Ovis aries: one gene and its partners. The protein of the gene in region 1 interacts with the protein of each later gene in a biochemical or structural test. Links are inferred from orthologs where the notes say so. Each region holds a gene or a part of one and is shown on either strand. Other genes may lie near its edges.

Region 1 (3,694 bases):
CGCGTGCGGGACGCGCGCTCACGCCACGCGCGCGCCCGCGCCGAGGAAGGGGCGCCGCGGCTCCCGGCGCCCGTTTTCTCGGGGTCCCCCCCGCCCCCCGCCCCGCGCCTCCGCCGCCCGGCAGCCGCCCCCCCGCCGCGGGCGGTTCCCCGGGCGCCCCCGGCCCCTCGCGGGCCCCGGAGACCCCGAGCGCGCGCCCGGCCGCCGCAGGCCCGAGGAGGCCCCTCGCCGCCGCCCGCGCCGCCCGCGCCCCCCACCCCGGCCGGGCGCGCGGCGCGGGCCCCCCGAGCCCCCGGCCCCGCGGCCCCCGCCCGCAGAGCCCCCGGCGGGGCGCGCTCCGCGCCGGCCGCGGCGCCTTTAACCCGGCCGGGGGGGGCGGCTCCGGGGAGGGCCCGTCCTTTCTTCTTTTTTTGAATGAACCGTGTGACGCACGCACAGGAAACCGGGCGGTTCGAGCGGAGAATGAAGTCAGAGGCCGGGCCCCCCGCGCCGCCCCCTTCCTCCCGCCGCCCCGCCCCGCGCCCGGTCCCCCCGCCGCCGCGAAGGTGCGGGCGCCGGGCCCCCCCCGGGCGGCGTCCTCGGCCGGAGCGCGCGGCGCGGGGGCGGGGAGAGGGTGCGCGGCCCGGAGGCGGGGTGCGCCGGTGGGGTGCAGCGGAAGAGGGGTCCGGGGGGGGAGAACTTCGGAGCAGTCATCCCTTTTTAGGAAAAGAGGGGAAAAAAAAAAAAAATAAAGCCCTCCCCCGCCAGCGCCGCCTCCCACCCTCGCGGCACCACACACAGCGCGGGCTCCTCGCGCTCGGCACCGCGGGGCCGGCGCGGCCAGCCTGCGTCTATCGGCAGCTCTTCGGAAAATGCCTTGGCCGTTCGGAGTTTGATCCGGAGAGGATCCCCGCCCGCGTCCGCCGCTCGCCCGCCGGCTCCGGCCCGGTGTTTTCTCCCCGGGGAGGCGTGAGGCGGCCCCGCGGACACAGACCCATGTGTGTGCCCGCGCGTGTGTGCGCGCGTGAAAATTGCCGAGAAGGGGAAAAATCACAGGACTTCTGCAAATACCGACTGAGAAATGGTAATTCATCCGCCGCCGCCGCTGCCTTCCGTTTGCTCGTGCTCTTGAGATCTCCGGTTGGGATTCCTACAGATTGACATTTCTGTGAAGAAGTCTAGGAATCAAACTGGAAATTCTCCTAAATTTTTGCACCCCCCTCCCCCAACTCCTGATTCATTGGGAAGTTTTCAGAGCAGCTCTAACTGGAGAGTTCTGAAGATTGATGGAATCTTTTTGCCTTTTCATTTGTTTTCACAAAAAAGGAAACTTCACAGAGGATCATGCTGTCCTTGAAAAATACCAGTAAGTTCTTTGCACAGGAAATTGGTTTAATGTAACTGTCAGTGGGAACCTTTGCGATTTTCACTTTAAGTGCATTGGAGTAAGTTTAAATTTCCAGGCAGTGTAATATATTCTTCTCAGCGTGTAACTTGTAGTGTGTGTGTGCCCTGCTTTCAACCAGCGTGCAGAGGGAAACGCACCTGATTTTGACTGATTAGTTTTTTTAACCTTTCAGCATCACGGAGGAGGTGGACTGATATTAACAGTAATTAATAATGTGCCTCATGAAATAAAGATCCGAAGGGGATTTAAGTAAAAATTTCCAGGATCTCATGCCAAGAGGGAAACACCAGAATCAAGTGTTCCGCGTGGTTGAAGACACCCCCTCTTCCAGGAATGCAAAGCACACCCAATGAAATAGCTGGGTTGTAACTCTTCCCCCCATCTGCGGGGCCGTGGGGCGGGCAGCGGGGGGCGAGAGGTGCTGCGGGGGCCCGGCTGCCCTCCCGCGGCGGAAGGATGGCGCACGCGGGGGGCACAGGCTACGATAACCGCGAGATCGTGATGAAGTACATCCACTACAAGCTGTCGCAGCGGGGCTACGAGTGGGAAGCCGGAGCCGCGGGCGCCGCGCCCCCCGGGGCCGCCCCCGCGCCGGGCATCCTGTCCTCGCAGCCCGGCCGCGCGCCCGCGCCCTCCAGGACCTCCCCGCCGCCGCCCCCGGCCGCCGCCGCCGGGCCTGCGCCCAGCCCGGTGCCACCTGTGGTCCACCTGACCCTGCGCCAGGCCGGCGATGACTTCTCTCGGCGCTACCGCCGCGACTTCGCCGAGATGTCCAGCCAGCTGCACCTGACGCCCTTCACCGCGAGGGGACGCTTCGCCACGGTGGTGGAGGAGCTCTTCAGGGACGGGGTGAACTGGGGGCGCATCGTGGCCTTCTTTGAGTTCGGAGGGGTCATGTGTGTGGAGAGCGTCAACCGGGAGATGTCGCCCCTGGTGGACAGCATCGCCCTGTGGATGACCGAGTACCTGAACCGGCACCTGCACGCCTGGATCCAGGACAACGGAGGCTGGGTAGGTGCTCGTCTGGGTGTGAGCCTGAGCCGGCGGTCCGAGTGGCGGGGTGTGGCTGGGCCCAGGGTCAAGGGCAGGCCAGTGGAGTGGAGCCAGGTGTGTGGTCTCCCTTTCTCTTCCCCTGCAGAGAGCTCTCCCTGCCGGCCCCACCGCGATCACTCCTTCCCCGGAGACATTGCTTCCCTTGCGCCAGCTACTGAGGTCCAAAGATCCAGCCTTTGCTGCTCAGTAGAATTTGGGGATAAAGGGCATCCCTTCGAGGTTACTGAAACTGGGAGTCCAGGGATCCCCATGATCACGGTACCTGGTGGAGTAGCTTATTGAAAAGGAGCATTTCAGGGACAACTCATAAGCTGGATGCCAGGCTGAGTCCTGACTCTCTGCATCAGAAATGAGCTCCCCTGGGGGGGTGGGGGTGGGGGTTCTGCTTTGTCCTAAAATTTGAAAACCACTGATTAGAAGAGCAGACTCCTCTAGAGGCCCAGGAGCCTGCCTTCTCTGACTCACTTGGTAAAATCTACCCAAAGAGGAAAACCAGTGTAGCCCCTTTCCCTAGAAAACCTGGATGATTGTGAAAAGGTTAAGTTGACTTCCAGAGTCTGTTGACACTGACCTCCAATGTGTGCCGCGTTCATAGTGGGCATGACCTTGTGTCTTGAAGAACCCTAGGCTGTGGGCGTTTGTTTCATCACTGACGGGTTTCGCGTTGGCCGCCTGTCTTGTATTCTATTTCTATAACTTGTGTATGATTTAGAAGTTCACTGGAATTTTTAGTGTATTTTATTTTCCACCCTAACCTACAATGCACATCGTTTGGTGGGATCCTCTGTGGGGCAAACTTGCGTCCAGAGTATCTATATAAAGATAGAAGAATTGATTCTTAGCTGTGGATTCTCATGCTGTGACTTTAGTTGAAGTGATTGATGCTTGTATTTTTGAAGAACATCTGTGAGCTGTGTTGTTTTTTTTCCTGGTACTGTTGTGCTAGACGGAGCCTCCGTCACGGCACCATAAAGCTCTTTCTGTGAGCGTGATTCTCTGGGGGAGGGGCACAGCTCATAAGACTGAAGAAGTGTCACTGACATCTACACCTCATATCTGAAATGATCAATTTGTGAAAAAGTGAAAGAGGAATAACTCTGGTTCAAGGTTTTGCAGACTTTTTGTTTTAATCTGAAGAGCTGTCCTGAAAAAGGATGCCATTCAGTGGTTCCTTTTACAGTCGCCAGGAGGATTACTGCTATTACTGTCTTATAGGACCCAACAGGAGCAAAATCCTTAGAAGGCACTACACGT
Region 2 (3,621 bases), on another chromosome or scaffold:
ACCATAACCTGGGTCCTGCTGCTGGTGCACTAGGCTTGTGGGGAGGGATACTGAAAGTGGGGATGGGGAAAAACTTCTGAGTAAGGACAGTGGCTACCACCATCCTGGGCTGCCCTGGACCCAGCCCTACACTTCCAGGGGACATGTGAGCTAGGGCTTCAGGTTAGGAACTTCCAGGCAAAGCCGGTGGACGAATTGGCCCCCAGCACAGGCCCCATCCACAAGCCTGGCCTGTTCACCAGAGGCTTTCTCCATGTCAGAAACTAGTCTGAGTGCTTTGCCTAACAACCCCATGAAGCAGGTGTCATTACTTTCACCTTTTATAAATGAGTAAACTGAGGCCTGTTAGCCAAGTTGGCAACATGCAAGATTTATGGGAGCTAGGGACTTCCTTGGTGGTGCAGTGGTTGGGACTCTGCACTTCCACTGTAGCGGGTGTGGATTCGATTCCTGGTCAGGGAACTAAGCTCCCATATGCCACCTGACACGGGTTGCCCAAAAATAAAGACTTACAGGAGCCACCTCTGTCTCTATTATGCTGTTTTGGGGGTGGGTGGTATGGGTAGAGGGTGCCAGAGAGAAGATCTCAGCTTCAGCTACATGTCTATTTTTTATTCAATATATTAAATATATTAATCAGAAAAGTCACATACTATAAATCCAGGAAAATACACAAATATAAATGTCAGAATCTGTCATTTGTCTTCCTCCTAGAATGAGTCTATGTACATGTGGAAGGAGGGCGGCAAGAGAGCAAGTAGGAGGCGGCTGGTGGGGGCCCATTCCTCCCTCCCAACCCCCACTCCCACCTCAACCTCTTCCTTCCTGTATTTACAGCAGCATTCGGCTTATTTACAGCATGGCGGTGTGTGTGTGTTAAAAACGGTTTATCTTACAAAAACATGAAGACCAGGGCTGGGCTCGGGGGGTAAGACAAAAAGTAAGGGTCACCCCTGTGAATGCATCCCTCTCCCCGAGGCCATGAGCTCCCTGCTGACCTCCCAGAGAACAAGGGGGAGGGGCAGCCAGTCTGCAGCTCAGGCCCAGGCCGGGGTGATGCTCCGGGGGTCCGTGGGCCATGGGCTAAAGGCACGTGGGGTGGCATTATGAGCGTGCACACTGAGTGCGCACATGTTCCCGGGCCAGGGTCAGAAGGGCAGAGTGTCCATAAAGATCTTGTCGACGATGGGTGGAGGGGGCACCAAGTCCTCCAGCTTGAGGTAGAAGATGCGCTGCAAGCCCTGGGTGCACAGGGTCCGCAGCTCGGGCAGCTTGCCCAGCAGGCGTGACAGGCAGCTGGCCGGCTGGGGCTCACCCGCCTCGGCCGAGACGTGCTCCTTCAGGCAGCTGGCAATGCGGTTCTGCAGCTCCTCTACCCGGCGAGGCTCCTGCAGCCCGTGCCGGTCTGCGGCAGAGGGGGGGCAAGGTGTGGGGTTAGACGCCCTGCCCGGAACCGGACGACCCTCTCCCCCCTGCAGAGTTGGCTGCCCCCAGGTCTCTGGAGCTGCTGCTACTGATCATCTCCCATGCCCCCTCTGCACCCCACGCAAGCAGAGGAGCCCCACTAGAAGCCCAGCAAGGCAGCAATGCTCATCATCCTCATCTTCCAAGGGACAAAGTGAGGCCCAGAGAGGTTACAAGACTTGCCTAAGGTCACAAAAAGGAAATAAAACCTTAAGCAGGTTTCACTGACTAGCCCGGTATTGTTTTTTTGGTTTCTGGTTCCCCCCATCCCAGATGGTAAAGAATCCGCCTGCAATGCAGGAGACCGGAGTTTGATCCCTGTGTCAGGAAGATCCCCTGGAGAAGGGAACGGCTACCCATTCCAGTATTCTTGCCTGGAAAATTCCATGGACAGAGGAGCTTGGCAGGCTACAGTCCATGGGGTTGCAAAGAGCTGGACATGACTAAGCGACTAACACCCCAGACTACTGTGAGAAACCCTGGGTTTGTGTAGCAGCATTACAGATGTCACCTCCAGAGAAAGCAGGCCTCAAAACCCAGTGCTCTTTCTGTAGCCGAAAGTACCTCTGATTCTGTCCTACAGTTTTTTGGTCCTATGTAGCCTTGTGAAACTTAACTTAAATCCACCTTGCAACGCAGGGGACAGGGGTTTGCTCCCTGGTAGGGGAACCAAGATCCCGCATGCCTCAACTATCAAGGCCCATGTGCTCTGTAGCTCATGTACCATAACTAGAGAGTCTTTGCACCACAACAAAAGATCCCGGAGAGAAAGAGATGGGGCAGATTCTGGTGCTTTAACAAATAAAGACCTGAAAGCCTACACATTTAATGCCAAAAACTCCTATCTTGCAGAATTACATTTACATATTCACATGAAGTACACAACCAGCAGAGCTAATCAGTGCTGTTAGCAGTCAAGATGGTAGCTACCCTTCGGGCAGCTAATGACTAAAAAGCAGGCACAAGGAAGGGCTCTGAGGTACTGGTCATGGCTGTTTCTTTTTTTAAATATAACTTTATTTATTTATTTGTTGTTGGCTGTGCTGGGTCTCTGTTGCTCCGTGGGCCTTCTCCAGTTGCAACGAGCAGGGGCTACTCTCTAGTTACGGTGCACAGGTTTCTCATTGTAGGTCTTGTCTTATTTGGAGTACAAGCTTTAGAGCAGGAGGGTTTCAACAGTTGCAGCTCATGAGCTTCAACAGTTGTGATTCCTGGGCTCTAAAGCACAGGCTCAGTAGTTAAGGCACACGCGCGTAGGCGTAGGTGTTCCGCAGCATGTGGGACTCTCCCAGATCAGGGATTGAACCCGTGTCTCCTGCGTTGGCAGGTGGATTCTCTACCACTGAGGCACCAGGGAAGCCCCATGTCTGTTTCTTGACCTGTGTGTTGTTTGTGTGCGTACATTGTGTGATAATTTCCATGCAACATGATTCAGTAAGATTTAAAAAAAACAAACTTTAGGTCACACCTGACACCTACACAGTTAGGACCTTGAGTAGTCTGGGCTCCGTCAGAGGCTGATGGTTTGCCGTCAGCCACAGCTAGGCCTGAAACCCGGCTCTGCCAACCACCAACTGCACTGCCCTGAGCCACGTCTGCCCTCTCTGCATCTTGTCACCCTCACTCCACAATGCAGGGGGCCCAGGAAACACCAGATGCTGGTACATCCAGAGCCAGGCCCTCAGGCCCTCCCCATCTCCCTGGGTCTGGGGACCGGCCTCCCACCTGTGATGAGGACAAGCGCGGAGAGGCAGGCGAAGGCAGGGATGTCTACCACCAAGCTGTGCAGGGAGCGAGAGAAGGCCAAGATGCTGTCGATCCAGTCCCCGAAGCCACGGGCACATTGCAGGCGGTGCAGCACCAGGCCTGAGCAGAAGATGAGCTTCCCCTCGGCTGGTTTAGACCTGGCAGGTTGGGTGCAGACAGCCGTTAGAGGGGCTGGAGGGCAGGGCGCCGGCCAAGGGCTGAGCACACAGTGGGACACTCACCGGTAGGCCAGACGGAGGATAAAGAGCTCCAAAAAGGCAGACTCCAGCAGCAGGTCCTGGTCTCCGGGAGACAGTTCAGCAAAGCCAGGGATTTTCTCGGCCCACTTGCGGATCACCTCCAGGGAACCCGAGAGCAGGTCGTAGAACTGCTGCACGTCCCCAGCATCCT
Region 3 (3,746 bases), about 2.8 Mb from region 1:
TATAAGAAATAATTAAACAAAAATAAAGACATTTAACTTGTGATTTTTTTTTTTTTTGAGCATCCTGGATGAAGTAATGTTATCTTACTTTCAAATATAGACATTTATGTCATACACCACAAAGAGTGAGTGAGTTTCACAGCCTCAGGTGATCTCATCCTTTTCTTTCTCACTTAAGATTGGCTAGGGAAAGAAAAGTTAAATTCTTTTATGTTATTTTCAAGTACAGCTCATTTTGTAAATGGCAATAATTCATAGTTCTGATTGTGCCCTCATATAATTATTTAAACAACTCTTTCAAGTTTTCTCATGAAAGACTCATAACAGCTTATTCTAAAATTAAGTCCCTATTTTCTAAAATAACTTAACATTTTAAAACAAGTTCTTCCCACTCTGTACCAATCCACTGCCTCTATGGAAATGAGTGAAGCAAAAAACAAATAATGTTTAGTTCACATGTTTACTATTTTTTAAGATTAAGATACTGTAATAAACTGAATATAAGGTGAAAGTAATATTTATAATCTAATTTCTAAGTAAACTTTTAAAGTAAGTGAAATCAACACCAAACCAATACTGACCATAATTACGATTTTCTTGGATAGTTCAAAAAGCAATTCAGCTTCTTTTTCGTACATTTCAATACCATGTTCATGATCACTAAAACCCATTATGACTACAAATTAAAAACTGATTTACTTTGTAAACAGTCCCTGCAAATTCCCTATTTAGGCTCAAAATAACCAAATTCTCTTTTTACAAGAGCTGGGTATTTAGTTAGAAATACTAACACAATGCTAAAAAAACAATTATCGTTCAGCCTACCGTTTTGAAAGACCTGAATTGTAACAAAAAATTATCCCTTTCATCAAAAAAAAAAAAAGAAAATGGCACCTAGTTGTTTCCTTAATCTTTTTATTACATCTATAAATGTATCAATTAAAAACATAACTATGTGTGGTGATGGATGTTAACTAAAGTTGTTACAGTAATAATGTCACAATTGATACATATATCAAATCATTAGGCTGTACACCTAAAACTAAGACAGTGTTCTACCTCACTTACATCTCAATTTTTTTGTCTTACCATCTAATCAAGTTTAAGAGGGACCTTTTTGCTGTCCCTTATTAAGGGGGGCCAAGTTGGACCGTGAAGGTTATGCAATTCTTGCAACACAGCCAGAACTCTTGGACATCACAAAAGATGGACAAAGCTTCTTCCCTCCGAAGCAGGAGCCAGAGAGCAGCCTTGTGCCAACTTAGCCACGGCCACACTGGCTATGCACCACTGCCTTTGCACGCCCCAGGGGCTCCATAAAATTAAGTGTAAAAGGGGCCCAACACTGTCTGATGCAACAGCAGTGTGACCCACACGGATTTCCAGCCCACGGTCTTACTTCCTTGCTACTGCTCCTTAGCAGATGTCTGCCTTATTTGATAAGATTTATAAAAGCGGGGAGGAGGAGAGCTGACCTGAAGTTACTTAATGGGGCTACATGGATGGGGAAGGGCGGAGGAAGGGATGGATTAAACAACACTGTGGACCATCTCCTGTTTTTCTCTATGGCATTTCTGTGATTAATACCGACTGTTAAAATGTTATGCTTTTAACGAAGAAGCCAGGCCTTCCAGGCTTCTGACGTCGTTGGTCCTTTCGGGGCTTCCTTAGCCCTCCATCCGTCCTTTGCAGAACTGTGATGGCATCAAGCGTTATTGTTGGTGCTGGGGCTGGGGACAGCGGTCAGACACACAGAAGGGTCCTCAAAAGGTGCTGGACCCCGGAGGAAAAGGGCCTGTCTCCGGAAGCGCTGAGCGCCAGCGGAGCCCCCGGGCCGTGACCATGACTTTTCTCCGCGTGGCCCCGGGGAGGGCGAGCGCGGACGGAAGGCAGGCGAAGGAGAGGAGGCTTTCGGCCGCCGCTCAAACGCAGCAGCATCCCCATCGCAAGGCTCACCCCTTCCCTCGCCATCCCCACCGCCCCGGGTTAAACCCGCGAATAGCGTCCCGGAGGCGCCCCTAAAACACGTGCCACGGCGCGGGTCCCGCCGGGCTCTTAGGCCCCGGGGCGACGGGCTGCCCCTGCCAGACCGAGACCGCGACCCAGACCCCCTTCCCGGCCAGGATCTCCGCGGGCCCCAGCTCTCCTTACCTGCCGGGACCCGCGTGGGGCTCGGCTGGGCGCTCCTACGAGCCCTCCTTCCAGGCATCTCTGCAGACGGCTGTCGGCAGACCGGGGCAACTCAGCGATGCAACCCGAGCACCTCGGGTCTGCAGGACGCGGGCTGCAAGGGGAGAACGGGCAGGAGACGACGGTCTGCACAGAGCAGGAAAAAACTGAACCGGCGCCTGCAAGAACCTCGCAGCTCTGCGATCGCTGCAGCGCGCGCTCGGGTCGTATGGGGACTTCCCGGTGACGTAGCGAAACCCACAGCGGGCCCCGCCCATGCCCCGCCCCGCCCTGGGCCCGCAACGCCCCCGGCCCCGCCCCCGGCTCGGGCCCGGCGCCGCCAGGGCGGGGACCCAGGCGGCGTGGGGCGAGCCGGGCGCAGCGGGGGAGGGAGCCTGACCCGGCCCCGCAGCTACTTCCTGGACCGAGGACTTGGCTGCAGGCGTGGCTGGGTCTCTGAGCTGCGAACCGGGAAGGGTTGTCCTCGCGAACGGCTGGAGATGGGGAGGCCTGGAGCGTCATCCCTATCATAAACGGGCAGTCGCAGACTCTCGTAAACAAACCCCTGAAGGGTTCGGGAAAGGACAGTATTCAAACTCGAGGAGTACGGGACGTTTTCAGAGAAAAATGAGAACACTTAATTACAGTAGAGAAGCTGCCGGAAGCTTAAATGAAACTGAAACTGGTTGGGAAGCTCACTGCCAACTAAAAGCCTGGAGCAAGAGAGGAAACCCTGTTTGGGTTTGGAAAATGCGTTGAGGGGGTGGGGGGAAGGAAAGCGGGTGAAGGGAAGTGGCTGTTCTCTGCCGCCGGGTGAGGACAGTGGTTCTAAAAGCAGAGTGTATTCCCTACGGGTCGGTCTCATACCTCCTTCCAGACGCTTTAATAAAACAACACCAAAAAATAGTAGGTCATCATGTAGACAGCTTTCAAAAGCTCCCCCGGGGGGGGGGGGGGGGAGAAATGAGGCATTTGGGAATACGTATTTGCCCGATGTTTGGCTGGCCCGGGAATAATTCCATTATTATAAAGAGAAGCAGTCACTCGTACTAGAGAACAGATCCTGTGAATTTGGCTCTGAGGGCTTCCGAAGACACTTTCTCATCCTGTCCTCGGAACAACCCAACCAAGCGGACATTCTCACCATTGTGGCTACTTTCCGGGTGCGAAAACTGAAGGTTTATAAAGATGAAGTGAGCTGAGCTCACACAGGCCGCGAGCAGAGGAGGGGGTCTGAACCCAGGCAGCACCATCCCGAGCAGGACGTCTTACCCGCATCTGCGGCCTTCCCAGGAATCACAGTTTCTTAGAAAATAAGTGTTCTTTATGTATGTGCGTGCGTGCAAGTCGCTTCAGTCGTGTCCGACTCTGCGACCCCATGGACTGTAGCCCACCAAGATCCTCTGTCCAGTCCATGGAATTCTCCAGGCAAGAAAACTGGAGTGGGTTGCCATGCCCTCCTCCAGAGGATCTTCCTGCCCCAGGGATCCAACCTGTGTCTCCTGTAGCTCCTGCATTGCAGGCAGATTCTTTACACGGCTGAGCCACCGGGGAAGCCCTTCTCTCTCTCTCTCTCT

Evidence for each region.
Region 2: the proteins of BCL2 (region 1) and NR4A1 form a complex in vitro, tested with the Homo sapiens proteins (2 studies listed by BioGRID). The link is inferred for Ovis aries from reciprocal best matches to the Homo sapiens genes BCL2 and NR4A1.
Region 3: the proteins of BCL2 (region 1) and PMAIP1 interact in a biophysical measurement, tested with the Homo sapiens proteins (2 studies listed by BioGRID and IntAct, with this or other methods). The link is inferred for Ovis aries from reciprocal best matches to the Homo sapiens genes BCL2 and PMAIP1.

The regions. Positions count from the first base shown.
Region 1 is NC_056076.1:61,899,108-61,902,801, reverse strand, and holds the start of BCL2 (apoptosis regulator Bcl-2), read left to right. Parts: upstream 1-758; 5' UTR 759-1,843; coding exon 1,844-2,398; intron 2,399-3,694. UniProt on the Homo sapiens protein: Suppresses apoptosis in a variety of cell systems including factor-dependent lymphohematopoietic and neural cells. Regulates cell death by controlling the mitochondrial membrane permeability. Appears to function in a feedback loop system with caspases.
Region 2 is NC_056056.1:134,283,868-134,287,488, forward strand, and holds the end of NR4A1 (nuclear receptor subfamily 4immunitygroup A member 1), read right to left. Parts: coding exon 3,453-3,621; intron 3,369-3,452; coding exon 3,190-3,368; intron 1,406-3,189; coding exon 1,149-1,405; 3' UTR 592-1,148; downstream 1-591. UniProt on the Homo sapiens protein: Orphan nuclear receptor. Binds the NGFI-B response element (NBRE) 5'-AAAGGTCA-3'. Binds 9-cis-retinoic acid outside of its ligand-binding (NR LBD) domain.
Region 3 is NC_056076.1:59,079,444-59,083,189, reverse strand, and holds the start of PMAIP1 (phorbol-12-myristate-13-acetate-induced protein 1), read right to left. Parts: upstream 2,372-3,746; 5' UTR 2,210-2,371; coding exon 2,152-2,209; intron 1-2,151. UniProt on the Homo sapiens protein: Promotes activation of caspases and apoptosis. Promotes mitochondrial membrane changes and efflux of apoptogenic proteins from the mitochondria. Contributes to p53/TP53-dependent apoptosis after radiation exposure. Promotes proteasomal degradation of MCL1.